Mus musculus: one gene and its partner. The protein of the gene in region 2 interacts with the protein of the main gene of each other region in a biochemical or structural test. Links are inferred from orthologs where the notes say so. Each region holds a gene or a part of one and is shown on either strand. Other genes may lie near its edges.

Region 1 (15,227 bases), about 81 Mb from region 2:
GTGTAATGGAAAGAATGACCATGCACAGTCTGTTTCCCTCCAGGTGAAATGACCCCCCCCCCCAACCCTCCAAGAAGCCAATCAGTAGCCTAGAACTGTATTTTTCTCTCCCTTAGTTACTGTGAGTAGAGCTTTGGCCAGTGATTCTTACTCTGGGCTATTGCAGACATAACAAGATATGGCATGTAAATGACTAGCTATTGTTTGAAAATAGTAGCTGTTTAAGAGGAACTGCTCTGGCCCTTATAATGTGTTCAGTTTGTTTTAATTCGCTGAAAGATCTGTTTGCTTTTAGAGCAATGAAATGGAGGGCATGGAACAAATGTGTGTAAGTTCCTGTATTTGCTTTTCAAACTAAGTCCTCTATTACTAACACTTACCAAGACAACTAAAGTGTGGAATATTCTATGGAGAATTTCACATCTGTTTCTTTTCTGATTTTCATTGTCTTAGAAGGTAGGTCACAGCACATGGAGATCTCTACTATCTCTAAGGTAAGACAACTAAACACTTAATCCAGGTTACTCTGGGAACCAAATCCTTTCTGGGCCTTATTGTATTGGTCATTAAGTGGACTTCAAGAATTAAGAGTTGTCTAAACACAGAGAAATGACTTAATCATTACAAAAGATCCCAGAGATAAGAAAGTTGGCCATACTGTTTATGAAGATCAATAACTCCATAGCATTGACTCTCTCGATTAAGGCAGACAAAACAGCAGTATGTTCCCCCAAGACCAAATGGGAGAGTGAATGGCAGTCATAGGAGACCCCCCTAGGGAAAGTATTTTTATTAGGAACTCCTGGTTTGGCAGGTCTGGGATTTGGAACAGTGGAATAACCAGTGTTTCTCCAACTTGCAACATGTCATGAAAAAAGCTATTCTGATTCAGGAATTCAGGATAGGCTCTGAGGTATTCTGACTGTAGTTAGTCTCCTGGCCATGCTATCATGTCTGATCCACTAGCTACTTTTAGAGTAGGACTGGCTTCAAGATGTATTGTAATAGGCAAGTAGGTCTTATAGTCTTGGAAAGTTGCTGCAGGAAGTTGTGAGATTAAGAACTCTTCCTGCTCTAAAGATGGAGTTGGTACTTTGTTCTCTGGGCCTCCTCTATCAATGAATGTGGTCACCTAGTCTCACTTCCTGGTATGTCTTGGCCTGCTCTGTAGTCTGACCATTGTTCATACCCTAGTAACTCTCACAATCCAATTTGTCTTTCTCTGGGCCATGCCTTTACTCATTGTCTAGCTTGATGGGTCCTACCTCTGCCATTATCATAATGGAGAGCTCATCTTTATAGAAGAATATAGTTAGTGAGTCAAAAGGATGACAGCATCTATTAACCCTCCATCATAATCCTCAGGGTAATAAAGGATTCAGAGATAAGGATCATCAAGAAATGCCAGTCTGCTGAGTGGAAGACATTCATGTCTTGAGAGTGTTACACCACAGATTACATATTCATGACAAGAAAAATTGTTGCTAGTTGTCCCCTTAATGAGGTATCTAAACATATAACTATAAATAACCAGACATTTGTCCCTAGCTGCTATAATAATATCAAGCATAGATAACCCCAGGTAGACCTAGAATGTAGATTGTTCTACTAAAGAATTATAACATAGTCAATACCACAAAACCAACAATCAAGGGCAGGTGTAACAGTTCCCGCATGGCTTCTCAAATTTTATTATTCTGGGAAGATTATTAAAATGTTGGTTTGACTCGTAGCTCTGGGGGGAAGCTGGGAAGTTTTAATCTCTCTCTCTCTCTCTCTCTCTCTCTCTCTCTCTCTCTCTCTCTCTCTCTCTCTCTGTGTGTGTGTGTGTGTGTGTGTATCATGTATGTGGGTATGTGTGTCTAAGCATGTTCATGGCTCTGAGTGAATATATATACACATATGTATATATATGTATATATACACACATATGTATATATATGTACGTATATATGCACATGTGGTGGTCAAAGGGCAACCTCAGATATCAGTTCTTAGCTTCTGTCACGTCTGTCCTTCTGTGTTCACTACCTACCAGCTAGATAAGGAAGCTCTGTGACTTTCCTGTCCCTAAATCCTATTTTGTCTAGGAACAATGGGTTTATCGCTATGCACCTGAATTCTGAACATGCAGATTTAGGTCTTCATGCATGGTAGAAGCAGCTCAACCACTAAGCCATCTCTCAAACTCTAATCTTTTTCTAACAACCTAGCAGGACTATCCATGTATTGGTTTGCTTTCTTATTTTATTTAATTTTATTTTCTTGTGGTATTGGAGAATGAACTCAAGCCTTGTCTATGCTAGGCAAGCACCCCAGTACTGAACTACATCCCTAGCCCTTTAAACCTTTTTATTTTGAAACAGGGTCTCACTAAGTTTGCCCAGGCAGGTTTTGAATTTGTAATCTTCTTGCCTTACCTTTGAGAATAGCTAGGATCACAGATATGAGACACAAAACCAGATAGGTCTACTCATTAAATTGAAAAAAAAAAATGTTTTCGACTAACACATATGCAGATATCACACAGCAGGTGGTATATGAGCCTAGATCTCCCAAGTAACGATAAAAAACCCAGCCATAGAAGATATGGGGAGATGGAACATGGACTGTATGTGTTGTATGTTACTAGGCAACATTGTTGAGTTACCGTGAACTCTTGCAAAATATGGGTGAGTGAAGCCACCCTGCCCATACCTTACTTTCATATATGTACAGAGGCAGCATGAATGTGATAGATTCTTGACAGATTTAGTGGATAGTTATATGGGTTTTAGCATATCGTTTTTGAAAAAAAAAATTAAAGGACAGTTTCTAAATTTTCTCAGATTCAGCTTACATTCTAGTTACTCCCCCAAACGCTCACCACCCTCAGCAGAGGTGGCCCGTTCTCCTATCTGGAGTATTCTGCCTGAAGCTTGGTTTCATAGGCTTTAGTTTCTCACGTTGGGAGAGTTCCCAGAGTGGGTCCCACACATGGACGTGAGCCTTTCCTTCAAAACACTGCAGAGTGCTTGCTCCTTAGGAAAGAAATCTCAGGTTTTTTTGTTTTTTGAAACAATTAAATAAAATTAAATATTTAAACAAATTATTAAAAATAATGAACTCCAGATGCGGGGAGTCCCTTAAGAAAAGGAAAGCGACTCAGGGCATTTCACCTCACTTTGATTGCCTGAGTTTAAGAAACAGGGCTCCTCCCAAATCGCCTCAGCCCTACCCTATCCTTACCAGCATTCTCCCTACAAAAGAACGAGAAAGGTAGGCTTAGCTGCTTTCTCTTTCTAGAATTGGTGTCCGATATTTGAAAATCAAACAACCTGAGAACTTGCTATACCTCTCTGGACTGTGTTTGTGTTCATTCCTAAGCCTGGGTAGGCTCAGCCTCCTGGCTTAGGAAGCGAAGACATGACTACGGTTGATGGCCCAGAGGCTTCCTTATAATGCCAACAGCTCTCTGTGAGCAAAGGGCCTAGGAAACCAGTGTCATCATGGATTCTTCTTTCCTGGGGGTGGTAAGAGAAGCTCTATTGTGTTTCTTCCTTTTGCTTTCATCACTACTCTGCAGTCTTTCCTAAGCTATGGAAAAGTGTGTATGCGCTTGAGCTACTCAACTTTTCTTTCTTCTCATAGTGCTGGGAAAAGCTGTTCCCTTGATGGTAGACTTTCCCTACCTCAAGATGTTACCATCAATGCTGATAGACAACATTCATTTGAGTGAAAAGATGCACAGTCTATTCCCATTTCTAGGTCTTTGTTTACACATACCTGTTTGTAAATATGCACAAAGGGCAAAACGTCCTAGACAGAAATGTCCTACAAGGCACAGGTAAATCACGAGGCGTCGGCACAAGAGAATCAGATAGGATGCTACAGTGGCACAAAGCAGACTTCTACATATAGAAATGGATGGATCTCTATGATAAAGCACCAAGTGAATGAGGTGGACTTAATAATGAGATCTGTGCACTATGTATTTGTAGACACTCAGCTTTCTCAAAGAACACACAGGAATCTGTTTACAGTGGCTTCCTCAGCAAAGACAGGCTACCTCTGGGAGGACAAGGCATGAAGGGCTTCTAGTTTATTTACCCTTATTTATTGGTTAGTTTTGCTGAACAACGTAAATGTATTTCATAATAAATATTGTTGGTTTAAATGTAAACAAAATTGTAGCTATCTCAGAAGCCTTCAAAGACATCACTAGAAAGCTATATAAACAATTCAAGGGCAGGGAGTGGATTTGCCTCAAGGTTTTGGTTAGGTTTACGTACCCAGTGTCTATAACAGTGCCCAGTACAAATAGATACTCAGTAAATACTGAGTTGATGCCTCAGTTTCCCCTTTGTCTCCACTATAGCGATTTCTTCCTCTAGCAAAATCTCAAGGATCCCAGCTCACTTTCCTGACATGGCTAACTCTCCCTTCTCCATCTCTTTTCTCATCTCTGCAGTGGTGCAGGTGGGGCCTCTATTCTCATCTCTTCCATTCCTTGAAAGTTATTCATATTTCTCACTCTGACCAGATACTGTAGTTTCCAGTGATGTTTTCTTGCAGTCTGCTGGGGAACTACTGCTTCACAGGTGGTCTCGAGGTGGTCCTACATAGGGCAGTAAGGTAAACCTCACAGTTCCCCACACAGTCCCTGTGGTACAAGGAGGACACCATGTGTTCATTGCCCATTCCATATTTAATACTAGAATGCGAGTCTGAGCTCTTTGGATCTTTTCATTGGGTTCTTTGACAGATTCCTACTGAGTCTCTCCAGTTGCTAAGTTCACCTGTTTGTAACAGTCCCCATCTGCCTTCCTATGGGATGTACTCTTAATAACCCAGGCCCAGGGGACTCATTTTTCCCCAGTTCTTGCCACAGTTAATGCCTGATAATGTACTAGAAACGATATGCGAAAAGCGTTAGATTCTTAATAGCATAGCCATTAAAATGGAAAGCCCTAGCTTGTGAGCAAGTATCTGACACGTAAAAAAAAATCACAGCATACTAGAGCTTACACACAGACTGTGCACCGTTCTATACCCAGGCACGGAGGTAAGTCAGATCAACAGACACAAGAGGAAAAATCTCTGAGAGAAGAATGAGAATGTTTCTGCCACCATCAGGGCAAGCAAAGGGAACAGCATTCTCACAGAGCAACCAAGAGCCACTAAGCAGCCCCTACTGTACCACTTGCTCAGGGTGCTTGACTGTAAGCCCTGTCCCCTGTCTGTGCTTCATTTTGTGCCTCTGCAGAAACAGGGCAGAAGCCTGTGCAGATTTCACAGGAGGAATCATTTCAACAGTGGATGGGAGCTGCTTCTGCACAGTGCCACCATCAGCCTTCCCCACCTTGGCTTCTTCCCCACACCCAGCAGTTCTGCCTGTGTCCTCTGAATGACAAATGTCTTCAGGCTACTCTAATCTCTCTTGCCTGGCCATTACTGCAAAACAATATACATCTGGTGTATGGAAAATCAGAGTGACAGAAAGTAGAGAATGTGGAGAGAAGAGAAAGTGCCCAGAGGTTTGTCTGCGAGTCCTTCTTGGCCTGATGCAAACGATCCATGAACTGATGTGTCCCATCAGCTCTGCAGGCCAAGTGTGAATAACTCCCTTCTTACACTGCCAAGGAGGAAGGAGCTTTAAAGCTTTATTTCAATATCCATACTTGCTGATACTTGTAAGGCCCTAGCTTTCAGCAACTAGTATGCTGCAGAGTCTGTGGTCCAAGGCAACTTGGAAGAATTATAAATTAGGTGAGTTCACACTTGGGCAGGGTGTTGCACCAGTGGTATTCATACAGTATCCAAATCACCATGCCTGGATCTCACCCCAAGCCTGTGAGTCATGTGAGCTGACCACGCAGTCCTTTCCAGACAGTGTGTAAGAGTTCTCTCTCAAGGATACTTTTCTAAGCTACGGTTTGACTTTCTCCCCCTACCCCCATTTCAAACAAACGAAATTTCCCAAGATGGTGTGGCCCTGCACATTATGTGTGCATCTCAGAGGGTACAGGTGACAAAAACACTGCTACTTTTCAACACCCTGAACTCTTCAAAGCCAGTGGCTTGTGAGGAAGCTTTCGATTTCTTTTGTGGGTTTTAACATTGAAATAGCAGAGCTCTGGGAAGACTTGGCCTCTCTCTCTCTCTCTCTCTCTCTCTCTCTCTCTCTCTCTCTCTCTCTCCCTCTCCCTCTCTCTCTCCCTCTCTCTCTCTCTCTCTCTCTCTCTCTCTCTCTCTCAAATATCACAGTCTTTAAAAAGTAGCTCCTCACTAAAAACAAGCAAGCAAGCAAGAAAACAACCACAACAAACAAACAAACAATAGCAACAACAGACTCTCGGCAAAAGAGAGGCCTCAGAAGTCCTGGGAGCACGGATTGAGGACATAACCTTAGAATTAGGATGAGCGCCTTACAGAGGTGATACCCACATGCGCACTCGCCATCAGGGCTCCCTATGCTTCCTCCCTCCATACTGTGAGGCTGTGACCCATCTGGGCTTCAATCTTAACTTCTCAAGGTCAGCAGCTCTTCTGTTGGCTCCAGTACATCTGGAAATTTTTGAGCTCATGTCCAGTTCTATTTCTTTTAAAAAATTCCCACTGAGTGCAGAAAGTTCATTTCTAGTTTTTCCCCTTTTCTCTGATATAATCTCTCTCTATATATGCATAGTTTTACTTATTTTCACTTTTTAAATTTTTTTTTTTTTTTTTTTTTTTTTTTGCTCCTAGTTAAACTATTCATTAGCTTCCCAGAGCTGTTCCTCTAGAGGACACACATTATAAATGAGGAAAGAAAAGCAGAAAAAAGATGTTTACTCACCTTTTTCTGGACTACCAGTACCAGAATGATCGCCACTGCCACAACAAGGCACACCAGTGCGGTGGTGCTGAGGTAGAAGTAGCTGCGACTTGTGCTTCTCCAGGGCCTCGTGCTTCTCCAGGGGCTGGCTACCGAGCCGGGCTGCACCTGCATGGCTGGGTCAGGGGAAGGAGCCCCACAGCTGCCTGCTTGTTGCAGCCCTGGCTCCATGCTTTATATAGTCTGTCCCACATCACACCTTATCTCTCCTCATCTGATTCGGTTCTGTACCCAGCTCTGTTCCAAGAAGGATTTTCCCCTGCATCCTGGATCATGTGACTTGGAAAAAAGCCTTCACCAGTTGCCGGATGGAGAAACTCTTCTCTGGGGGCGTGAGGCGAAGGGTGGCTGCAAGGGTGGGGGAGAGGTTCATTTTTCATCGCCTGGGATTAATCTGAGTGCAGAGAAATTGTAGCGAGATAGACGATGGTTGATGTCAGCGGGTGGTAGGAAGGAGACAGTTCCGCGTGAGTGTACACCAACCACTTCTGTTTCCTTTAGGCTCAGCCACAGAACGCCTTGCCGCGGGGACCCTGCACACTGCATGATCCATGCTGGTGGCCCAGGAAGCTTCCAGATTAGTCTCTTTGCTGGGTCCCTGGAGATGGCAGTCCTTTGTCAGCAGCACAATGACTGTTGGGGTTGTCCAACAATTACAGCATGCTCTAAACTGGAAACATACCCATTTCTGGGAAAGAAGAGCCCACTGTTTGGGCATTTACCTACCTGGAGACAAGGTTGTGGCAGTAGGATATTTGAGGATAGTTTCAAAGACATGGTGAGAGAAGAGGAATTTGGAAATAATTTGCTGTTGAACCAAAGCTCCTCTATCTCTTGCAGGGTGCTCTCCAGGGCTGTTAAATTTGCCGATGAAACTGGCTTGCCCTAAAGTTCATACTAGGGGAAGAAATTAGTGAGGGGGTCAGGAAGGGGAGGCTCAGTGCTGTGGAACGAGTGTGTGAAGTGTCTGTGGGTTGTATGGGGGTGCAAATAGTGTTCCAGGTGTTTGTGATGAGTTTGTGGACAGAGGTTACTAGAATTGAACATTCTGGCTCAGGTACAGTCTTGGGAACTTGGCTTAGAGGCTGACTTCACACTCGTCACCAGCCTCAGAGGCAAGTAGTATTTCTTCTTCACAGCATAGAGAACTGAGACCCAGCATAAAAGCATTCTTAATCAAATCTACCAGTGTTAATCTAATGGTAAAACTTGGTGGTATATGCAAACCAGCCTGGCTCCAAAAGCCTGCCGGACCCTTTCCTTACAGGCTGAAAACCTCAGGTTGCATCTTAGCCTTTCCTCTTCTCAGCATTGCTCCTTGAATAAGTCAACGCAGCCCCTGCTTTCACCCCAGTCTGCTTTGCAGTCATGGGGAAGATCAAACAGGATGATGTAAGAGGGCTTCCTGAATGGGAATGGACTTGGCAGCTGTTGTTGAACAATTCCTGTTAAACAGCCCAAGTTGCCCTCTGGGCCATGTCTGGAATTTCATATAATAAATAGATTTCTGGGACACAGAGCTGGATCGTATCTGTTGCTATGAATGACCTTTCTTTCAGAATATTCTCTAAAAGCTTCAGAGCTGCCTCCAGATGTGGCCTTCTGAAACCTCACTTGCTATTTCCCTTGAGGTAGACAGCACCTTCTCTTTTGACTATACACTACCTCTGCAGGTCACAGGACATGTCAGAAGCCCCAAAGAAATGCCGGATCCAAAGCCCAGCTCAGATTATTTAGCTTTCTGGATCTGTGTAGATCTCTCTTTGAGCATTCTGCAAGGCAGCTTAGACTTAGGAGATGGTCTAGAGGCCCTTTTTGGTGAGTTTATAAAATGAAAAACCACAGAGGAGGGATAGGTAGTGAGGAATGAACTGGTGAGTATCTTCTTCGAGGGCAGTGTCTCCATCTGGTTGTCAAGGAAACTGAGCCTGGGGTTTGGAAGACAGATTTGTCCTTAGCCACTTGTCCTGCTGGTTTAGATAGGGCAAGGCAAGTTAGTGTTTTGGGGGGGTACACTTGTTTGATTTGGGGAGAAAGCCTTGTCCTTTGGTAGGTACGGACAGGGAGTGGGTGGCAATCTGCCCAGAGCTGCTGAGAACCGGCTGCTCCCTTGGCCCTCTCTGTTTAGCCCCTTTGATCGAAGTGGAAAACTTCTGATTGCTGAATGGAAGCTGTGGGTGTTGAAAAATAAAAAGGCTTCGTTTAAAGTTCAGGTCTTCCTGAAGGCCCATGGGGCTGAGGAGGCAGTGGAAAAAAATGTTTGTCTTATACTTACAGTTTTGCATATTGTACATTGTCCTAGGAGGGAGGGCTGACAAGGGGGAAAATCACCCTTTGTTCTTAGAACCTTCTGAACAGTTGAGATTTTCAGATCAGTCACTAACAGTTTGTGGGCCCAACTTCACTTCTTTTGTGGTTGCATCCTCTGCTAGTGAAATTTCAGAGGCACCCTATTCCCTACTCCTGTTGTCTTCACCTCCTCTATGCTTTTCATGTGTTGCAAGATCTGGTCCAGGCAACCTAGCAGTCAACTCCCTGTGATAACAGGCTCTTTTCAATTTCTACCTAAGCCACACAAGGTGCATGTGGCAGGATCCTACAGGTTCCTTGCTGAGTTATTTTCAAATCCTTCTTGGAGGTAAAACTGCACAGGAAATGTTAAAAAAAAAAAAAAAAAAAGCAGAACTTGGCCGGAGCAGAGGAAGGTCAGGTAGAAAGGCTGAGCCTAGCTGATTGCTCACTTTATAAGACCCAGAGTCAGTACATGATACATGAAATATGGAGTCTTGTGATTATTTAGCTCAAATTATTTATTTCACAAGGAAGGAGATGGAGACACTGAGATGACATGACCTGAAGGGTTTGAGAACTCACTCAGTGATCAAGCCTGAGGACCGAAGTGTGCTATTCAAAACCCACATATAAATGCTGGGTGCAGTGGCATGCTCTTATAATCCCAGTGTTATGGAGACAAAGACAGGTAGATTTGCTGACCAGTTAACCTAGCTTAATCAGCGAGTTTCAGGATTACTGAGAGACTCCATCTCAAAAAGCAAGGGCAGTGGATCTTGAGGGATGACACTGGAAGTCAATGGGTGCGTGCTTGTACGCGAGTGCACACACACACACACACACACACACACACACACACCCCTTTCTTGAGATCGAAATGAAATGATTTGGTTCACAAGGGAAGGGAAAGAAACAGGCTTCTTCTTCCCTCTGTCTGTTCTCCAGATGTCTTTGCAGAAAATATGCTGAACCCATTCAGGCTTCCTTGAATGTTTCTCTTACCTTGCTATGCCTCTGTCTGTCTTTCAAATCTTTCTGAACAGGGGCCATCTGGCTCCATCTCCTTAGTAAAACCTGCCTCTATATAGCAACCCACTAACACACTCTCTAGATTCCAGGCCACGTCACCTAGTGATGTAATTACCTGCCTGAATCTACTTATTGACAAGTGTGTGAGCACATGTCAATTTTGCCTACCTTGTGAGATGCTAGAGTCCCAGAGCCACTCCATTTGTTCTTGCTCTCTTCATCTTTGCATCCTATCTGCATGATTTAGATCTAGGCCCATAAATGACCAACCCTCAGTCATTGATCATCTTGACTTTGTGGCTACGGAGCAAGAGAGTTCTAGAGGGCTGGGTACACAAAAGAATTGTGTGGTGGATTTCTGCCTCCTTTACTTTTCCTATATTTCTATCTTCCTTACTTACCTGACTAGCAGAACTATATTTCCTATATTTACCTGACTATATTTCCACTCTAGCATGTCCTAGTGAGATTGTCCATTGGTGTCCTTTAAAGTAACATTAGTTGCTAAGATGTGGTTCCTGTACCTGACAGTGTATTAAACCAAGCTAATCTCTCATCCTTTGATGAGTAAAATCTATTTTGAAATAGAGACAACACAGCTGTAGTTTTCCTACCTTTCATTACTTCCTAATAGTATGGGCTTTGGGAATTTATCATACAAAGTAGGAGCTTTTAGGGGATGGTCTCTGACTCAGCACCATCAGCATTAACATCACTAGAAGACTTAACTTAAAAACCTTAAAGGGCTACTGAAGCAGATACTCAGGTTGACATCAGGAAACCCATGTTTGGAAAAGTACTTCAGACTATCCTGGGAGCATTTGACAAACAGTGGTAGAATGACTAAGAAAGAGCATCCAAGATATCCTTGGATGAGAATACTACTGTTGTACTATGTGGATGTGAAAAGTGAAGAGGAATCACGCAGTCTCTAGCATCGCAGTCTCTAGCATCGTGTTGTTGGGAAGTGCTGGTTTGAGCACTATTTTTCTGGTGCTTTGGTTGAGCCATCTATTTAAGCTCAGTTACAACTGTGGAATCTAAAGTTACTATTGGTTATGAGGATGCAGATATCTCTAGAATAAAATGAAGAAGATTTAGTATCTATAGTTCTCTTGAATTAAGACTGTGTAATAAAAAGTTGTTTTTTTTTTTTTATGGATCTTATAGAGTAGACTGAATTTTTTTTTCCATTTTTTATTAGGTATTTAGCTCATTTACATTTCCAATGCTATACCAAAAGTCCCCCATACCCATCCACCCCCACTCCCCTACCCACCCACTCCCCCTTTTTGGCCCTGGCATTCCCCTGTACTGGGGCATACAAAGTTTACGTGTCCAATGGGCCTCTCTTTCCAGTGATGGCCGATTAGGCCATCTATTGTTACATATGCAGCTAGAGTCAAGAGCTCCGGGGTACTGGTTAGTTCATAATGTTGTTCCACCTATAGGGTTGCAGTTCCCTTTAGCTCCTTGGGTACTTTCTCTTGCTCCTCCATTGGGAGCCCTGTGATCCATCCATTAGCTGACTGTGAGCATCCACTTCTGGGTTTGCTAGGCCCTGGCATAGTCTCACAAGAGATAGCTACATCTGGGTCCTTTCAATAAAATCTTGCTAGGGTATGCAATGGTGTCAGCGTTTGGATGCTGATTATGGGGTGGATCCCTGGATATGGCAGTCTCTACATGGTCCATCCTTTCATCTCAGCTCCAAACTTTGTCTCTGTAACTCCTTCCATGGGTGTTTTGTTCCCAATTCTAAGGAGGGGCATAGTGTCCACACTTCAAGACTGTGTAATAAAAAGTTGTTTTTTAATGTGGTATATTTGAGAGGGAACAAACTCACATAGGGTATGTTTTAAGTAACAAAGCACAGAGCTAAACTACCTTTTGAGGAGGGACTGTTTGTCCCCTTAACCCAAGAGCCTTCAATGTTGTCCAATGAACTTGGACATTAGACTTCAGTCACAATGCGACATTTATTCAGAGGACACAGTAAAAGAGTGATAGATTTGAAGCAAGATCACTGAAATATGGCCCATGGTCAAATCTGGCAATCTCCTGTTTTAGTCAATAATATTTTATTGAAATAATCATGAACATTTGCTTATCCACTTTCTGTGGATGTTTCTATAATGGTAGAGATGAGTAGCTTCAATAAGGACATTATAGTTTATACAATCTAAAATTTTTTTACTGCATATAGAGTCTTAAACTCTTTTATTATAGAGTTTATCATCCTTTTAGACTTTTCTGATACATGATTTAGAATACTAAAATGAAATCAAGGCAAAATAATCAAGAAGACTTGGGGGAATAACAGAGAAAGGTTGAAGCTTCCTTTATAAAATCCTTGTGAATGCTTTTCTTGCTAATCTATGCTTTCATCTAAAAAGATTTTCTTTGAGCTATGTGGTAGGTATATTATGAAGGCTGACTGTTGTAAAGAATGTAGCATCTGAGAAAAAGGTTGGGTAGAGAAAAATTTGAAGATAAATACAAAGATGCTCTCAGTAATTCATACATTTTTATTTTTAAATTGCATGTGGGAGTTTTAAGACAATTTAAAATAAATTTACAGGTAATCATGGAAACTATTAACATAAAGCCAGAGATCTGAATGGAAAGAGTAAGGTTAATGTATTGAGAAATGTATTTGAGTATGACAGATATATCTACAGGTGTCCCGGTCATCATGGCAAAGAAGGAAGCATATTAGATCTCATCACTCTTTTTGCTCATGAGAGCAGAGGAACTCAAAAATAGAAATGCACAATTTGATTGCTGTAAAGACACTTTGAAATATATAACATTTTGAAATGACTGAGGATTGTTGAAAGCATGCCATTCTGGAGAATTAGGATATCAGCCAACCTTAACAAGTGGAAATACTGAAATGTTAAAAAAAACAAATATAGTTTCAGCCTGTGCTGACAGGGCATGCCTGCAATCTTAGCACCTGGAAGACAATGTCAGGTGGACCCTGAGTTTGGGGCAAGTCTAGAGTATTTAGTGAGAACTTGCATCAATAGAGATATACTGCTCTTGTCTCTCCTAAGCTCTTGTCTCTCTTACTCTCACCTCTCTTCTTCCTTCTTCCTTTCCCTTCCCCCCTCTCTCCACATGGTCATGGCTGCCCTTTGCTTCTCTCTCTCTCTCTCTCTCTCTCTCTCCTTTTCTATAATAAAGCGCTAAAACCATAAAAAAGAAAGAAATATACTTTAATTTTCAGTGACACAGAATTAACGATAAAAGTGGGAAAGCCAAGTATAGAAGGAAGAGACTAAATATGTATTCATGCCCCAACCTCTTCCAGGGTAGGGTTGGAAAACTCAAATGGTTGAAACTGTCCTTCAGAAAGCTGTTGACACTGCACTCATGTGCTGAGCTGAGGAAAGGGTCTCCCATGATGATAAGTCATGGTACATGGAGAGGAATCATCACTGAGCATGGAGAGTCTATGTGCAGGACACTATCAAGGTAACAACGAGCGAGGCAAGCATCATCTCATCATCAAGGTAACAATGCGAGAGGCAAACATTATCCTTTATTGCATTGCATTTATGGACAGGCTGGTATAAAGCTCATTTAAAGAAGTGGCTGTCACAAGATGGTACTCCTAACTGTTGATTCAGAATGCTGTGTGCACACATGGGGAACTCATGCGGACGCACCATCCTTTGTGGGAAAAGTTGTTATCCCTTTTGGCTTCTGTACTAGTTCAATAAGAAGGAATCCATTACCAACTCTTAGTAAGCCTCTCAACTCCCTTCCCCTTCTGGATTGAAATCTGTCAGCGTCTGATGTTGCTTGCAGTATCCTGGCTGTATCATCTGAAAGGTTTCTCTTACCTCCCTTTAAGTCTCACTTTCAGCCTCTGATGCTACTGAATTCTTCCCTTACTACAGATGCATTGTTTTATTCTAACCATACCTAATAACCTCTTCTGACTCATTTTTTTGTAAGACCAGTATCCTTCTTGCAAAATTAGAGGCTCTTTTTTGCATCTCTTGCAGTTCACATTTTTTAACCTAATTTTTTTAAAGCTTTCATTCAAATGCATGGCTTCTTTAAAAAATTAATGTGTTAATTTTATTACTTGTGTGTATAAGTGTTTTACCTGAACCCATGTCTTTGCACTACATACATAACTGGTACCTGAGGAGGTTAGAAGATGCATCAGATTGACTCAGACTGGAATTGCAGATGGTCATAAACCAACAAGTGACTGCTGGAAATTGAAACCAGGACCTCTGCAAGAGCATCAAGTGCTTTTAAACACTAGAAAATCTTTCCAACCCTGTGGCCTTTTCCTTTGATTGTTAAACACACACCACACACACAGACACACTCATGCTCATGTGCATGCACACACACACACACACACACACACACACACACACACACACACACACTTCCTAAATACAGAGATATAATCTGCTCAGTCCATATAATGTTATTTGTGTGTACATATTTTAAGTTGCTGCTCCGATATTCTCCACCTTTACTTCCAATTAACAATACACCTCCCTCCTTAGGTTTGTAGCCTGATTCTTCCTCTGGTTACCAATGATCACTTTATGTATTTGGCAACTTGTCAGCATTTTGTGAACTCCAATTTTGGGTCATTCACTCATGAATATCTGTGTTCACTGTTTTGCTAATTTTACAACAACTCCCTTAGTGTCTTTTAAATAGAACAGACAGAAACTATCACACTCCCCTGAGAATGGATGCCTGATAACTACTGTAGAACGAGTCTGGATATAGCAGTGTCCTTTCTAGAGAGGAGGAAGTGAGAAGGTGGCAAGGGCGGAGCTAAGTATATTTTGAAATCTCAGAGTCTGAGGATTGTTCCTTGTTTATTTATCTTTAAATGTATTTATTTATATTATTTTAAAGGCAGGATTCACTTATTTATTTTGTAGTTTAGGCTGACCTCAAACTCATCATCCTCCTGCCTCAGGTACCTGAGTGCTAGGATCACAAGTATATTTAGTAGAAATCTTTGTATTGTTTTGTTTTTGAAAAGTAGATCTTTATGAACTCA
Region 2 (15,127 bases):
TTCACTCTGTAGGCTAGGCTAGCCCTGAACTCACAGAGATCCACCTGCTTCTGCCTCCCAAATTCTAGAATTAAAGGCATGTACCACTACCCCAAGTGAGAGTTCTTTTCAAATAGGGTCTCATATAGCCCAGGGTGGCCTTCAACTTGTTATATAGCAGAATGTGACCTTTAACAACCATGAGACAGGGTCTCACTATGTAGCCCTGACTGACCTTGAACCTGACATGTAGACCAAGCATCTGCCATGCCTAGAGCCTTTTGTTTTGTCCTTCCGCCTCTACATGGTTTCTCAGGATCAAACTGAGTTCATTGGGCTTGCTTCCTTGGGCAGGGCAGATGGCAAATGAGCCACTTCATTGATCCAACCCTGAACTTTTCCTATATCTACCTCTCAGCCGTGAGATTATAGACATACACTACGAAGCCCCGTGGATACCCTGGTAGGGATCAGACCCAGAGGTGCTGGGTATTCTAGGTGAAAATTCAGCCAACAGAGCCACACCCCCAGCCTCAAAACTGAATTTTGGGTAGCAATTATAGGCCATCAGAATGAAGTCATGAAAAAAGAAAAGTTCTGTCCCAAGAATGAGATAATATTAGGAAACGGCAGAGCCACAGGGTCAGTTCTAGAAGCCAGAAAGTTGGGCTTGGTCTTTATTTCTCAATCCACCCGAGGCCAAAGCCCTGAAAGGAAGTCCTGCTGCCCCTTGCTTTGGACAGTGAATGATCATTACCTGGATCCAGAAATGGTGTTCCCGTGGACAATGGAGAGGTGGGCTGCATCCTGCTGCTGGTCCAGGCATCTACCACAAGGCTTAGGGTGGAGGCGGTACTATACCAAAGGAAACCAAGGACAAGGGTGATGGTCACAGTTGCCATGTAAAAAGGGTGTGTCTAATGAAGGATGTTTCTTCTCTACAGAGGGTAAAGATGAAGCCTGGGTACCCAAAAGATCAACACAGTCTTTACAGGCATTGTGAGGTATTGATTAAGCTCTAGACCCTCTGGCTTTACAATCCTGTAATCACTGAGACAGACACACAGCCATGTTCCTCCCCAACCTCCCCAAAGGCCTCAAGGTCTGATGCCCCTGCATGTCTAGCCCTTACTTTCCTGGACACTGCCTGAGCATACAAAGGGCCATTCTGCCCTTCCCATGGGGTGGGGGGACTAGGAGTCACCTTGCAGGCTCCTTGCTGTTTTCTGAGGTGCTGATGTCAGGGAGTGTCCCTGGAGATGGAAGCTCCAAGGTCATATTCTTCTCTGCATTACCTATAGGTATGATGACATATTAGAATCAGTGCAGAGAGTTTGAATATCCAGTCTGCAGTGGGGAACAGTGGGAGGCAGTTGGGAGGTAGTGGAAAGTAGTGAGTGGGAGTCTTCCATAACACACAATTCCTGGCTACAAGTGACAAAGGCCATGAGGGTTGTGCTTTAAAGCATCAAACTGGAGAGGCTATGGTACCATGGGTTCTGCTATGCACGCTCCAGTGAAGTCTGCTTGGCAGGCTGAGAGGCCTGGAAGCACTCACGAGGCAAAGAGTTTCACGGAAACTCACCTCCTGGAACTCTGGCAACGGTTACTCTCATAACCCGTATACTGATACCCTATCCCCGTGTTAGTCTGGTGTATGGATCCACGTGCTCTCTTTTAGTATTATTTTATTATAAGTGCCTTTTAAGATTGAATTCTGACATAGCTAAGCCTTCGCCAGTGTTCCAACGTCCCAGAAAATTCTTGAAGATGACAAACTTGGAATTCAGTAGGAATTCAGTAAGAATGTTGCCTATTCAGTGACATTCAGAATTGCCTCTAGTATTGTAAGAGAGATAGTGAAAGAAATCAGGCTTTACTATCTACTACATAGAGTTAGAAATCTCAGGGCAAGCTTAGCAATGTAAGTTTAGAATTCTTATTATAGTTATATATGGCAGACTACATTACTTATTAGTAGAAAGTCCCCTCACACTATCACTTAGGATAAAATCCAAGTCGCTCCCATATACAGGAATTTACAATGGTTTAGGAAGTAGATCAGGCTGTTGTTTTAGAGTATTGCATTATTCATGAGAAGGTTAGCTAGAGCGGAACTCCCTAATTAGAACCATAACTTGGGTGTGAAAGCCCTTGCCCTAGGAGTGTAAAGACCTCACACCTGGCTTCTAAGACTATGACCTTAGATAGAGTTGACTTTAGATAGAGCTGACTTTGTCTCAGTTGTTTTATTGCCCAGTTCCTGCCAGTCCTTTTGTTTACATTCCTCTGTTTTGTGTAAGAGTCATTAAGCATCCGGTAACCTCATTTGTACCTTGCCGATGTGTCACCTAACTTCCCTATTTTCTTCTGTATAAATAGTTTGATGCTCAATTTGAAAAATTACATTCAGATTCTACACAACCTCTTGCGTTGCGTCTGTCTGTCATTCTCTGACTCCTTGCCCATCTGCAACTAGAAACCCATTCTACACAGACAAGGGACCCAAGAGGGTCTGCGGCAGGGTTCCAAAAGCAGCTTCTGCTTTTTATTTAGAAGAAGCTTAAAGGGCAGCAAGATGGCTCAGCAGGAAAGACCTTAGGTGACTAAGGTGATGACCTTAGTTGGATCCTGGGACCCACATTGTGGAAGAAGAGAACCAACTAATCAATACCCACAGGTCGTCGTCTGACCCCATGGTACATGTGTCATGTATGCGCGCAAGCATGCCTGCACACAAGTATGTACACATATCAAAGAGAGAAAAGGAACTCTGGTAAATATCCCAGCCACCCATCATGCTACTGTATCCCAGCCACCCATCATGCTACTGTATCCCAGCCACCCATCATGCCACTGTATCCCAGCCACCCATCATGCTACTGTATCCCAGCCACCCATCATGCTACTGTATCCCAGCTATCTATCATGCTACTGTATCCCAGCCACCCATCATGCCACTGTATCCCAGCCACCCATCATGCTACTGTATCCCAGCCACCCATCATGCTACTGTATCCCAGCTATCTATCATGCTACTGTATCCCAGCCACCCATCATGCCACTGTATCCCAGCCACCCATCATGCTACTGTATCCCAGCCACCCATCATGCTACTGTATCCCAGCTATCTATCATGCTACTGTATCCCAGCCACCCATCATGCCACTGTATCCCAGCCACCCATCATGCTACTGTATCCCAGCCACCCATCATGCTACTGTATCCCAGCTATCTATCATGTTACTGTATCCCAGCCACCCATCATGCCACTGTATCCCAGCCATCCATCATGCTACTGTATCCCAGCCACCCATCATGCCACTGTATCCCAGCCATCCATCATGCCACTGTATCCCAGCCACCCATCATGCTACTGTATCCCAGCCATCCATCATGCCACTGTATCCCAGCTATCTATCATGCTACTGTATCCCAGCCACCCATCATGCCACTGTATCCCAGCCACCCATCATGCTACTGTATCCCAGACATCCATCATGCTACTGAGAGGCAGTGGAGCTTCAGAACCTGGAGCCCAGAGGAAGGGAGAAAGGTCATCAGGAGTACGTCCGTGAAAAAGTCCCTACCTCTCCTTTGCCTCTTTGTGCATCCTGGCCACCATGAGGTGAGCAACGCCTGTGGAGATGAGCTGCCTCAGAACCAAGCAGCTATAGACAAAAATCTCCCCAACTGAGAACTAAAAAGGACCCTTCCCCTTGTAATGCTAATTAGAGACGGTGTTCCTATCACAGAGAGGGAAAGCACACTAAGAGGGATTATATTTAAAATATCAACTGACTTTCTGCATTGGCCATATGAAGTTACAAGCTGTTATTTGTGTGTGCTTGTTTGGTTGGTTGGTTGGTTGGGTGGGTGGGTGGGTGGTTGAAAGGGATAGTTCTGGGTGTCCTGGGTGTCACTATGTAGCTCTGGGTGTCCTGAAACTCTCAGTAGACCAGGCTTGCCTCAAACTCACAGAGATCCACCTGCCCTTACCTCCTGAGCGCTGGGATTAAAAGCGTGCATCATCAGACCTACTAAAGTTACAGCTTTCATTTGGTTTGTGTTTTTAAATGTTTAACCTTTAAAAACCAAAAAAACCAACCAACCAACCAACCAAACAAACAAACAAAAAAACAGCCAGGCATGGTGGGAAGAAAAAAAAATTGCCCCACAGGATTGCTTGGCCACAGGCCAATCAGCTAGGGGCATTTTTAAAATTGAGGTTCCCTCTTTTCAAATGACTATAGTTTGTATCAAGTAGACACAAAAACTAACTAAGATACCTGAGCTATATAATGAATTCTGAGTCAGCTAGTGCTATAGAGTGCTATGTAGCAAGACTGACTCTCTACACAAAACAAAACAAAAAGCAAAAAAACCCCATGAAAACAAACAAGAAAGCCAAAGACAAACAAAATAAAAATAACACCACCACCACCAAAGGCAGAATAGGAATGAACATGTCCCTCAAAGGCCTTGGTGGAAAGCGTGAGGAGCATAGCGGGAAGGAAGGGCTTGAGGCCAGAATCACAAGCCACCACCATTAACCAAACAAAAGCAGGAAGCATACAAGTGTTATGTTCCAGTTCAGACTGGCAGATGGTTCCATCTGCACAACTCTGAGAACCCAAGTTCAATGCCAGCAGCCAGATACAAAGGCAAGCATGGTGGAGCACACTTGTAGCCCCAGTGCTATCGAGAAGACAAGTGAAACCTTGGGACTCATTGGCCAGCCAACGTAGCTTGATTGCTGAGTCCTGGGCCAATGAAAGGCCCTGTCTCAAAAAACAAGGTGGATGGCTTCTACAGACTCCCAAGGTTGACCTTTGACCTCAATGAGGATCAGTACACACACACACACACACACACAGAGAGAGAGAGAGAGAGAGAGAGAGAGAGAGAGAGAGAGAGAGAGAGAGAGAGAGATTGATTTATTATTCACTGGTATTTCTAAGCCCCAAGTTGTAAACACCCAAAACCTTGAACAGTGAATCTGTATAGTGCAGGCTGTTCACTTTCTCTGAGTGGTGAAACAGTAGCTGGGTCCTCAGCTATGAGAGCCATGAGAACGGTTAGGGGCCATGGGAGCCATGGCCTGAACCCACCTGCTCTGTCATAAGCACCCTGAGTACAGGGCAGGAACACACAGCACCTGCCCCTGGCATGCAAGGGCACTCAGAAATTTTAGGAAAGAAAGAGCCCTTTCAGGACCTTTGGCACTTGAGCCTCAGCCTCAGGAGCTGCATCCTGGAGATGCTCTTCTGTTCCTACTTGGCAAGCTGCAGCTCAGAGTCCTCTGCATACCCAGGTCCCCTTATCAGACAGCACCTCCTTGGGAGACTGCCACAGCTTCAATTAAACAGTACCTGGATCTGGACTGGGCTCCCTTGCCTTGGACGAGGAAGATTCTGGAACCTTCACCAACTCAGTAGCATCTTCCTGCACAAGGTTGGTGACACGCATTGGCAGCAAGCTCCTTGCACTGTCATTGGCTGGGGATTCTAGAGTAGGCATGGCCTGAGGAGTGGCATGGCTGTAGAAGAAGCCAGACAAAGATCTGATGACTTCACAAACCAGGAGGTCTGGGTTTGGGGATTAGTGTCTATGGAGAAAGGCTCCTGTCTCAGCCCCTATGTGCCCTGCTATGAGCTGAGCGCAAAAGCCAAGTTTCTTAGACCTGGGTCTCTTATGGGCACCAGGCAGAGCTAGACACACACAGCAGGGACTCATATAACTGGTGAGCTTGTCAGAGAGCCACCCTAGGGTCCTGCCAGCCTGGGCTGATCCTGCCTGTGCACCCTGTGTGTCATGGGACAGAGTAGCCCCATCCAAGATCACCTGGAGAGGAACAGAAAGGAGGACAGGAGTCACCTAGTAAGTGTCTTGCGGTCACCCGGATTGGAGCAATTGGGACCAGATCCCGAGGAAGGCAGCTCACAGATAGTGTCCTTCTTTGCTGTGCCTATAAAAGAGACAGCAATGTCTTCAGAACAGGCACTGAGAAACTCAGAGTCCCCAGGAGCAGAAGTGTCAACACCACATGTAGAATCATGGACAAGGTACTAGGAGGACACAATGGCTACCCCGAGACAGAGATTCTGGCTTTCCCAGTATCTGTTCACTCTGGAGTGAGGAGGATCTATCCCTTCACTTGGCTTGGTCAGTGACGCTCACAGATGTTCACACTCAGCTACAGAAACACAGACAGACAGACAGACACACAGACACACAGACAGAGACAGACAGACACATAATTATATTTGTGCCCCCCAGAGATACATATATAGAGATACATATATACAGAGACACAGAGAGAGACATACACAGTAACACACACAGAGATGCATACACATAGACACACACACAGAAACACACAGACACACCCACAGAGAGAGACACACACAGACACACAAGACAGGCACAAATAGACACAGATACACACACACACACAAAGAGACACACACAGATACATATAGAGATACACGCAAAGACATACTCAAATACATACACAGACACACACACAAGAGACATATACACACAGAAAGACACACAGGCACACATAGACACAGATACACACACACATAAACATACACAGAGACACATACACATAGAGACACATAGAGAGATACACACAGACACAAGCACAAACATACACAAATAAATACACACTGACACACACACAGACACAGACACACACAGACAGAGACACACACACAGACACACACACAGACACAAGCACAAACATACACAAATAAATACACACTGACACACACAGGCACACACACACAGACACACACAGACACACACACAGACACACACAGACACACACAACACATACACACACAGACACAAGCACAAACATACACAAATAAATACACACTGACACACACAGGTGCACACACACACACACACACAGACACACATACACATATACACACACACACACACACAGACACAAACAGACACACACACACACACACACACACACACAGACACACACCCACCATCAGATACTCCTGGGTTTGCCCTCCATCTCTACCACATTCTTACTAAGCCAGGCAGTCAAGAGATCATAACAGTCTTCATTAGGCTGCTGTTTATATAAACAACCACATGAAAACAAGTCTGTCATACTAGGTAATAAACAGTAAGCGCTCAACCTTACTGCCTGTACTGTACTTTCTCACACCCCAACGCCAATCTCATCTCCGAGGGAGGGAGTGACCCACATGAGTTGGAAGATGCCCCAACTACTTCAGTGGAGGTGAACACAGCAAGGTCAGCAGTGCGATGAAGTTGACGCAGCTCAGCTGAGCACCCAATCCTGGCTCTACGTTCTTGGGCTGCTCATCTGCCATCTCTGGGTGTCAAACTCCCTACCCACAGAAAGGAGCTGATGGAATCTGCTCTGCACACACGCGATGCTTGCGAAGAAAGTCCATAATAGCCTTGAGTGTTTGGCTATCTGTGAGCTATGCTGAAACAGAAGTTACTCTCCCCTTTCACAACCGGAAATCCTACATCTCCCAGAGCTGCCTTCTGGGAGAGTCCACAGGGGCTCCAGAGATGAACAAGGTCAGGTGACTGTGGCAGGGCCACTGACAGAATGTGCTGTGTCACTATGCCAGTACCGCACACCTTTAAGCCCAGGACTTGAGAAGTGAACAGTTCTGTGAGTTTCAGGTCAGCCTGGTCTACTTAGTGAGTTCCAGGTCAGCCAACAGCTACATAATGAGACCCTGTCTCAATAAAAGGAGGGATGTGGTCTTAGTAGTTAAGATCACTGGATACTTTTTCAGAGGATGGGATTCAATCCCCAGCTCACAACCTTCTATAATTCCAATTCTAAGAAATCCGATAACCTCTTCTTGCCTCTGTGGGCACTAGGCATGCATGTGGTACACAGACATACGTGCAGGTAAAACACCCATATACATAAAATAAATAAATCGAAAAATAAAAATGAATCTGGGTGTAGTGGCACATGCCTGTAATCCCAGCAGTCAGGAGTCTGAGGAAGCAAGATCAGAAGTTCAAATCCAACCTGGGCAACAGAATGACTCTGTCTCAAAAGATAAATAAAGAAATAAATAATTTTAATGATGTCTTTGTGCTAGGAGTATTGCTTATTGGTATAGTCCTTGTATGACATGAATGGCCTTGAGTTCAGTCCCCAACACACACACACACTCGTGTGTCCATGCATGCATACACACATGCACACACAGCTCACACATTTAATACCCACACTTGGGAGGATGAGACAGGGGGATTACTGTGGTTTTGAAGCCAGTCTTGCCGCATAGTGACTTACAAGACATCCTGGGCTACAAAATGAGAGCGGGTCTCAGAAAGAAATAATCTAACAACATAATGATCTATGTCAGTTGGTAACCAATATAAATATAAAAAGATACATTGTATTCTCGCTTACATGGTAGGTCTTTGAAACTTACTGAGCATTATAGACAGAACATCTTAACTTAGACCTGCCACATTTTAAGCATTTTTTTTTTTTTACACATGGCAATGGCAGGACTTCAGAGACAGGCCTCTGTTGCCCCCATGTGGCAGTCTTGGGAACTCTGCCCAGACAGCCTAGCCATGCTAGCTGGAAGGTTGAGAATCTGTCTGACAGACAAACACGGAGGCCTTTAAGTAACATCTCCTCATCATATGAGCAAGGAGAAAGAGTTAGAGGAACTGGCCCCATCCACAGGTAAAAATCTTCAATATAGCCCAGCCCTCAGCTACGTTTCTGATTGCAGACAGGGTCCCACAGTACAGAGAGCATTCTGTGATTCAGGAACTTGGAAAATGCCCATGAAGCTAGGAGCCAGAAAAGCCAAGGACACCGGTTAGAGAAAAGGGTTTGCAATTTTCACCCCTCACCATCGGTTTGCCCCACCAGGAGTTTATGTGATTGTACTGTCCTTTTTGCACCCCCACCTCCATGTCTCCCTTCTAGAAAGCACACCACCACCTCCTTTTTTGAGAACAGAGTCTCACTATGGAATCAGCCTAGCCTCCAAAACACCACTTCTAATGGCAACCAGTGAAGTTCCATGATTCTTATCTCTTCCTCTGACCATGAACTCCTCCTCCCTTGTATTGTCAAAAAATTAGAAACGGGAGATGGTAAGGCCTGATGTCACGAGGCAAACTGGGGGAAAAAAACAAAGCAAAGTAATTTCTCTGCCTTTAATCTGTTGCCTAATGTCTCAGTACTCCTCTCTCCAATAAAATGTCCTATTCTGACGCAGGGAAGGTAGCTCTAATTTGTCAGATAACTCCCAGGGTAGAGACTTGAGGCTTCCTACTTACTTGTGGACCACCGGAGAATCATCCCTGACCCCAAGCTTCAAATGTGCCCACAGCCTCCTTTAACCAGGCGTGGGCCTCTGCCAGTAGAGTACCTCTGACAGGACGCAGATGTGAGCAGTGAGCAGCAGAAACCCCGAACGGATGCTGCACACATCACAGCATGGGGAGAGAAGCTTCGACCTGTTTATCCTACAGTGGTGGGAAGGTTAGGAGGCCTGTGGCGGGCACAACAGTAGCTACTAAGGAGCTGTGGGAGCTGTGGGAGCTGTGGGAGCTGTGGGAGCTGTGGGACACTCACCTGGAGACTTGACAACCTCCTCTCCAGAACAGTGGAGTTTGCAGCGGGCGCAGGAATTGACTGCTGGTGTGCAGCAGTGCATGCCAGGCTGACACTCACAGATTCGAGGAGAGTTCCCGGAACACGGAGCCTTCTCCACAAGGCCTGAGGGACACAGAGAGGGTCATGGAAGGGAAAGAGGGGAGCCAAGGGTGGGGGTCCAGTGTACACAGGGACAATCCAGGATGAAGGTAAGATGCCACATGACCCTCTGTCAGACCAGTTGGCTGTCACTCTGTGCCTCTCCTCAGTTCTCCTGATGTGCATGAAAGGGGCAGCGTGAGGGTAACCTTCACTTCCAGCCCATATGTCTGCTACTACTACATAGATTACAAACAAATAAATGTGGGGCTAGGGAGACGGCTTAGTGGGTAAAAGCAGTTGTTCTTAGAGCAGAAAGTCCTGAGTTTATATCTCTAGGGCCCATGTAAAAAACTGAACTGAGAGGACCCTATATGACTGCTACAGAAATGGGAAGACTCCTAGGGCTGGCTAGCCAGCCAATGTAGCTGAATCAGTGAGCTCCAGGTTCTGAGAGAGTCTCCGTCTCAAATAGGAAGTTGGAGAATGACTGAGGAAGACTCCTGACATCAGCCGACACTGACACACACAAACACAGACACACAGACACACACACTCCATGCATATATATGATGTCCCAGGATATGGAAAGAACTGAAGTACACGTAACTGTGTGACAGGCCATTCTGAAAAGGCATTACACTGTGATTTTCATGGACCTCCAGCAAGACTGATGTTTTAACTGTACAGGCAGGAGAGCCATCAGTGGTTGCCACGGTGAGGAGGATGGAAAGATAAACTATAGAAGCATGAGGAGTTTTAGGAAGTGCACTGTATGTTCTGGGCACAGATACACCGTCTATGGTCAAATCCCATATGATGGGCATCCCAGCTGAATCACGATGAGGCAGGAACTCAGCAATACATAGCCACACTAGCTCATCTTCTGTATTGGAGTCTGACTACTAAATGGTCTCCTCTGAGGGAGATGGCTGTGGGATAAACCACTTTCTGTGAAAGCATAGGACTTGAGCTTCATCTCCAGAACCCATGCTTAAAAAGATGGGGGTGGGGTTTGGAGAGATGGCTCAGTAGCTAAGAGTATTGCTTGCCTTGCATGATCAAAGTCCTGAGTACTATCCTCAGCATTGCATAAACTAGGCATTGCAGTGCACACCTGTGATCCCAGTACCCAGGACATGGAGACAGAAGGACGCATGCGCGCACACACACACACTCACAATTAGGAAGAAAATACAATCTTTAGAAAAATCTTTGCATGCAATAAACAAAATACACATTATAAAAAAGGCACTGAAAGCTTTGATAAAATATGATTATTAGGTTTTGAGAACAATCTCAACATGTCTTTCAACCTAACCATCCACACAAAACCAAAAGAAAATGCCAGACACTATCACTAAGCACAAGCAATTAATATTAGAAGAACCTATTTCAAGAACTCTCCTGGAAGCATCACCTTCTTTGTTAGAAAGAATGCAGCTCTTGATGCCAGGGCACTGCTCGGACTGCTCCAGGAAGGCCCTTCACATTATGAATCCTCAGATTCTTCACTATAGAAATGGGTTGAGAAAAGGGTCCTTCATGGGGGCATTGTGATGATGCCCGTTCTCCCTCCAGGGAGCACACTGCATCTTTCTGAAAAGTATGGATGCAAAAGATGGCTGCTGATATCAATCTTCAAATCCAGATAGGTAAATAGAAGCACCAGGAGATCAGATCTTGATACTTCCTGCCTCTCAGATTCTGCGCATCCCCCACCCCTGGAGAGACACGTTCCAGGGAGAGAGAATAGGTTCTCACCTGGCAAACAGGTCACGCAGGCTGTGCACTTCCCGTCTTCATTGACGTAGTAGTCAGGTGCACACTGCTTCCTGCAGTGGGCAGGACCCCGTGGGCATGGCTGTGTCGGAGACAACCCTGGGGAAAGCAGCAGGGAAGTTCTAGGCTAGGTTGTCTTGGTAACAGGCTGGCCTTCCACCCTCCATTTCTCATACCTAAATCCCATTCATCTCTGCTTTAAGCGGTTGCATCAGATAATGCTTGTGTTACAGACGGAGGCATGGACCTCGATGGAGGTCACTGGGAACAAATAGGCAGCCCAAGAATGGGGAAGATCTGGCATTCCTGGCCTGCCAACTGACAATCCGTGACCATGGACAATTGCAGCGACCTCACTCATAGTGACAATATGATCTGTTTCTCCTAGAGTGGACAAGGGTGAAGCGTCGGTGAAGTTCAGCAAGTATAGTCTGAGTGCTGGCTGTCACTCTCAGCAGAGGTCCTGATTCTCTGAGGGAACTGGGGGGACTATGGGGAGTTAAGGCCATGAAGATACTGATTCAAGCTGACTGAGAGGCCCTGGAACCACCCAGCAATCTTCCTCCCAAACTTAGAGGACAGGAGATGCAGGATGATGACGGAGGCAAAGGGTACATGATATCTGCCAGGTTCTATCTGTTCTGCCAGAGCCTGTCATGTTTGTTCAGTCACGTATGTTTCCCACTGCTTCACCACAGGTTAAGCACATGACCGAGGTGGGCTAATCAGAACATTTCATTTTTCTCCATCATCGCCTCAGAATAGGCATGTGACTCCAACAGACCAATCAGAACGTGTTATCTTTCTCACCATTGTGATTGGCTCAACATGGGCACATGACCATCAGACCACCAACCGATAAGCCCCATCCCTTGAGCGTTTTTCAAGATGGATGGTCTGGCTTTTTCTACTGAATTTCTGGTTAAAATTGATGAAATCTGGCTTGGTGGCATATTCCTTTCGTCACGACTGGGGAGTTAAATTTCAGTATCTAAATTTATCTACCTGAAATACTCCCACACTCTTCAGGATGGCTATCTCTGTTTACAGCAATCATTGAGTCTCCTGTTGCAGGGCCTGGATCATATTTGGTGAACCTATGTTCTTCTGACTCATGAATAGAAGCTGGAGAGACACCAGGGCCTTCACCATCCCAACCCTGAACAAGGCCTGGGGTCCAGAACACCAAGGAAGGCTGAAGGAGCTCAGGGTTGAGCTCAGGTGATTGTGGACCGTGTTCAAGTTCCTTCTCTGGCTTCCTATGAGGTTTATGTGCTACTGTGGGGAAAGAGCCAGGCCTCCTTTGTAGTGGCCTGAATCATAAGTGCTGTTGGTCATTTTATGAGGCAGGCAGTGAGTTGTCACCACAGGTATGTCAGCAGAGAACTGGGAAGTGACTGTCAGCAGGTGGCAAGGCACCCCTCCTAGGTGAGGACAGACAGGAGAAGACCTCTCAGCCTCTCAAATTCAAAGGTTTTCCAGCTTCCTCTACCAGCCCACCCACGTGCAAACCCTGCCACATAGTTGAGCGCTGATTTGAGAGGGCGGGCAAAATGTCAGAAATTTCCCCAAAACACGGAAGAAGGGGTTTTTCTGGTTTTCCTCTGTGGCTTGTCCGGAAGCACAGGGTCAATAAAACTCCAGCAAAACGCCCCGCCCACCACAAAGACCTGAGGTGCTCAGCCACTTTCAGCACTGAGCCTTAGAGGAAGTGAGAGGAGGGACCAGCCCCTGTCTGTAAGTCCCAGCTGTTAAGTGGAGAAAGCCTAAGACCTGGGGGTCATGCTCACAAGTGTCTTTCTCTCTCTGACTGGAACTGTGGCTTCAGAACGTCATGGCACTGTGGCCACACCTCTCTGTGGACAGAAGGGCAAAAACCGACCAGAACAGAAATGCAGGAAGCCAGTCCCTTGCAGCAAAGGAAGGCTCGTAGAGGTAGTGTCTCAGAGCTGCAATAGGATGGAGATAGCAGAAAGGGACACGCAGGGGTAAAGGAAACAGACAGCACCAAAGGACCAGAGGCCTGAAAAAAAAAAAAAAAAAAAAAAAAAAAAAAAAAAAAAAAACGGGAGGAGCTGGAAGAAATGACCTCTTCCAAGAGTGATCTTGCCATTGGATTGAAGGGTGGGTGGGTGGGTGGGTGGAGGGAATAGATGAGGAGCAGGACTAGATGAGAGGATGGGGAGGTGGGAGGAGACCACTGTGGACTAGAATTGCTCACACGCCCCACTCCCCACCCCCAATTATAATGAAACCCTTAACTTTAATTTGGAGAGACAGAGGTTTGGGAGCTCACTAAGGATAAAGGAGCCCACCAGAAGCCCTAAACCCATGGGATGAGTGGGTCTCTATGAAAAAGGAGTACACACCATGGAAAGGTGGTACGGTCAGACTGTAAGCCAGGAAGAGCTCTGGACAGAAACCTAATCAGGACAGAACCTTGTCCTTGGGTCCTCCAGTTTCTAACTAGGGGAAAGCAATGGTCTGCAGGACCCCAAAGAGGAATAGGGAAGAGAATGAGCTGGATTGGGAGGCAAGTAGGGGGCAGGAAGGAACCCAAAAGAAGCTGGGTATGGTAGCACAGGCCTGTAATTAATCCCAGCACTGGGAGAGGGCAAGAAGCAAGAGGATCAGGAGTTCAAGGCCAGCATCCGCTGCCACAAAGTTCAAAGGCAGCTTAGGCTACATGGGATTCTGTCAAGCTGTCATCAAAGGATCATCACAGGAACATTTAATTTTGTTCTTGTTGTTTGGCTGTTTTGTTTTGTTTTGTTTTGGGAGACAGGGTTTCTCTGTGTAGCCCTGGCTGTCCTGGAACTCACTCTGTAGATCAGGCTGGCTTCAAGCTCACAGAAATCCACTTGGCTCTGGCTGGGATTAAAGGCTTGCTCCACCACCACCCAGCTCAAATAGTTTTCTTTATGTATATGTGTGTTTATGAGTGTATGTCGTGTGTGTGTGTGTGTGTGTGTGTGTGTGTGTGTGTGTGTGTGTGTGTGTGTGTGTATGTGTGTCCTCAGAGGTGTCAGATCCCCTGGAGCTGAAGTTCACAGGCAGTTGTGAACTGCCTAATGAGGTTGTTGGGAACTGAACCTGGGTTCTTTGGAAGAATAGGAAGTGCTCTTAACCACTGAGCCATCTCTCAAGGTCCACAGAAATATTTTTAAATCATTTTTGGGAATAGACGTTATTAAGTTCTTTCTCAGATACATCATCTGGTAACCCGTGCAAGACTGCTCCATCAGAGAACACAGGGCTAAGCAGTTGTCCAAGCATCTCACCTAGCTATAGTCACATCCTCTATGACCTTGTACAGTACTACCTGCACCCACCTCCAGACATTGTGCCTGGGAAGCATTAATATTGGGTACATGGGCCTACTACTTCTCACCCACAGGAAGCCCTCCAGACATGGTGACCTACCTCTGATGCTGTCCTAAAAGCAGGGGCCAGATACACTGAGCCAGTGACAGAGACTTCCTCCCACCCTCAACTGTCATAGCTAATGTTTCTTTCAAGCAGACGTCTATTCCCGGATCTCAGAGACAGCACCACAGCTGCATCTCCTACCCCAGCCACCAATGAACCCCCGGCATGTGCTTGAGACTTTTGATCATA

The links.
Region 1: the proteins of Tnfrsf8 (region 2) and Tnfsf8 form a complex in vitro, tested with the Homo sapiens proteins (2 studies listed by BioGRID and IntAct). The link is inferred for Mus musculus from reciprocal best matches to the Homo sapiens genes TNFRSF8 and TNFSF8.

Annotation. Positions count from the first base shown.
Region 1 is NC_000070.6:63,854,033-63,869,259, forward strand, and holds the start of Tnfsf8 (tumor necrosis factor ligand superfamily member 8), read right to left. Parts: upstream 7,253-15,227; 5' UTR 7,028-7,252; coding exon 6,818-7,027; intron 1-6,817.
Region 2 is NC_000070.6:145,287,243-145,302,369, forward strand, and holds part of Tnfrsf8 (tumor necrosis factor receptor superfamily member 8 precursor), read right to left. Parts: intron 11,609-15,127; coding exon 11,492-11,608; intron 9,752-11,491; coding exon 9,608-9,751; intron 5,948-9,607; coding exon 5,857-5,947; intron 5,519-5,856; coding exon 5,352-5,518; intron 1,275-5,351; coding exon 1,184-1,274; intron 835-1,183; coding exon 737-834; intron 1-736. UniProt on the Homo sapiens protein: Receptor for TNFSF8/CD30L. May play a role in the regulation of cellular growth and transformation of activated lymphoblasts. Regulates gene expression through activation of NF-kappa-B.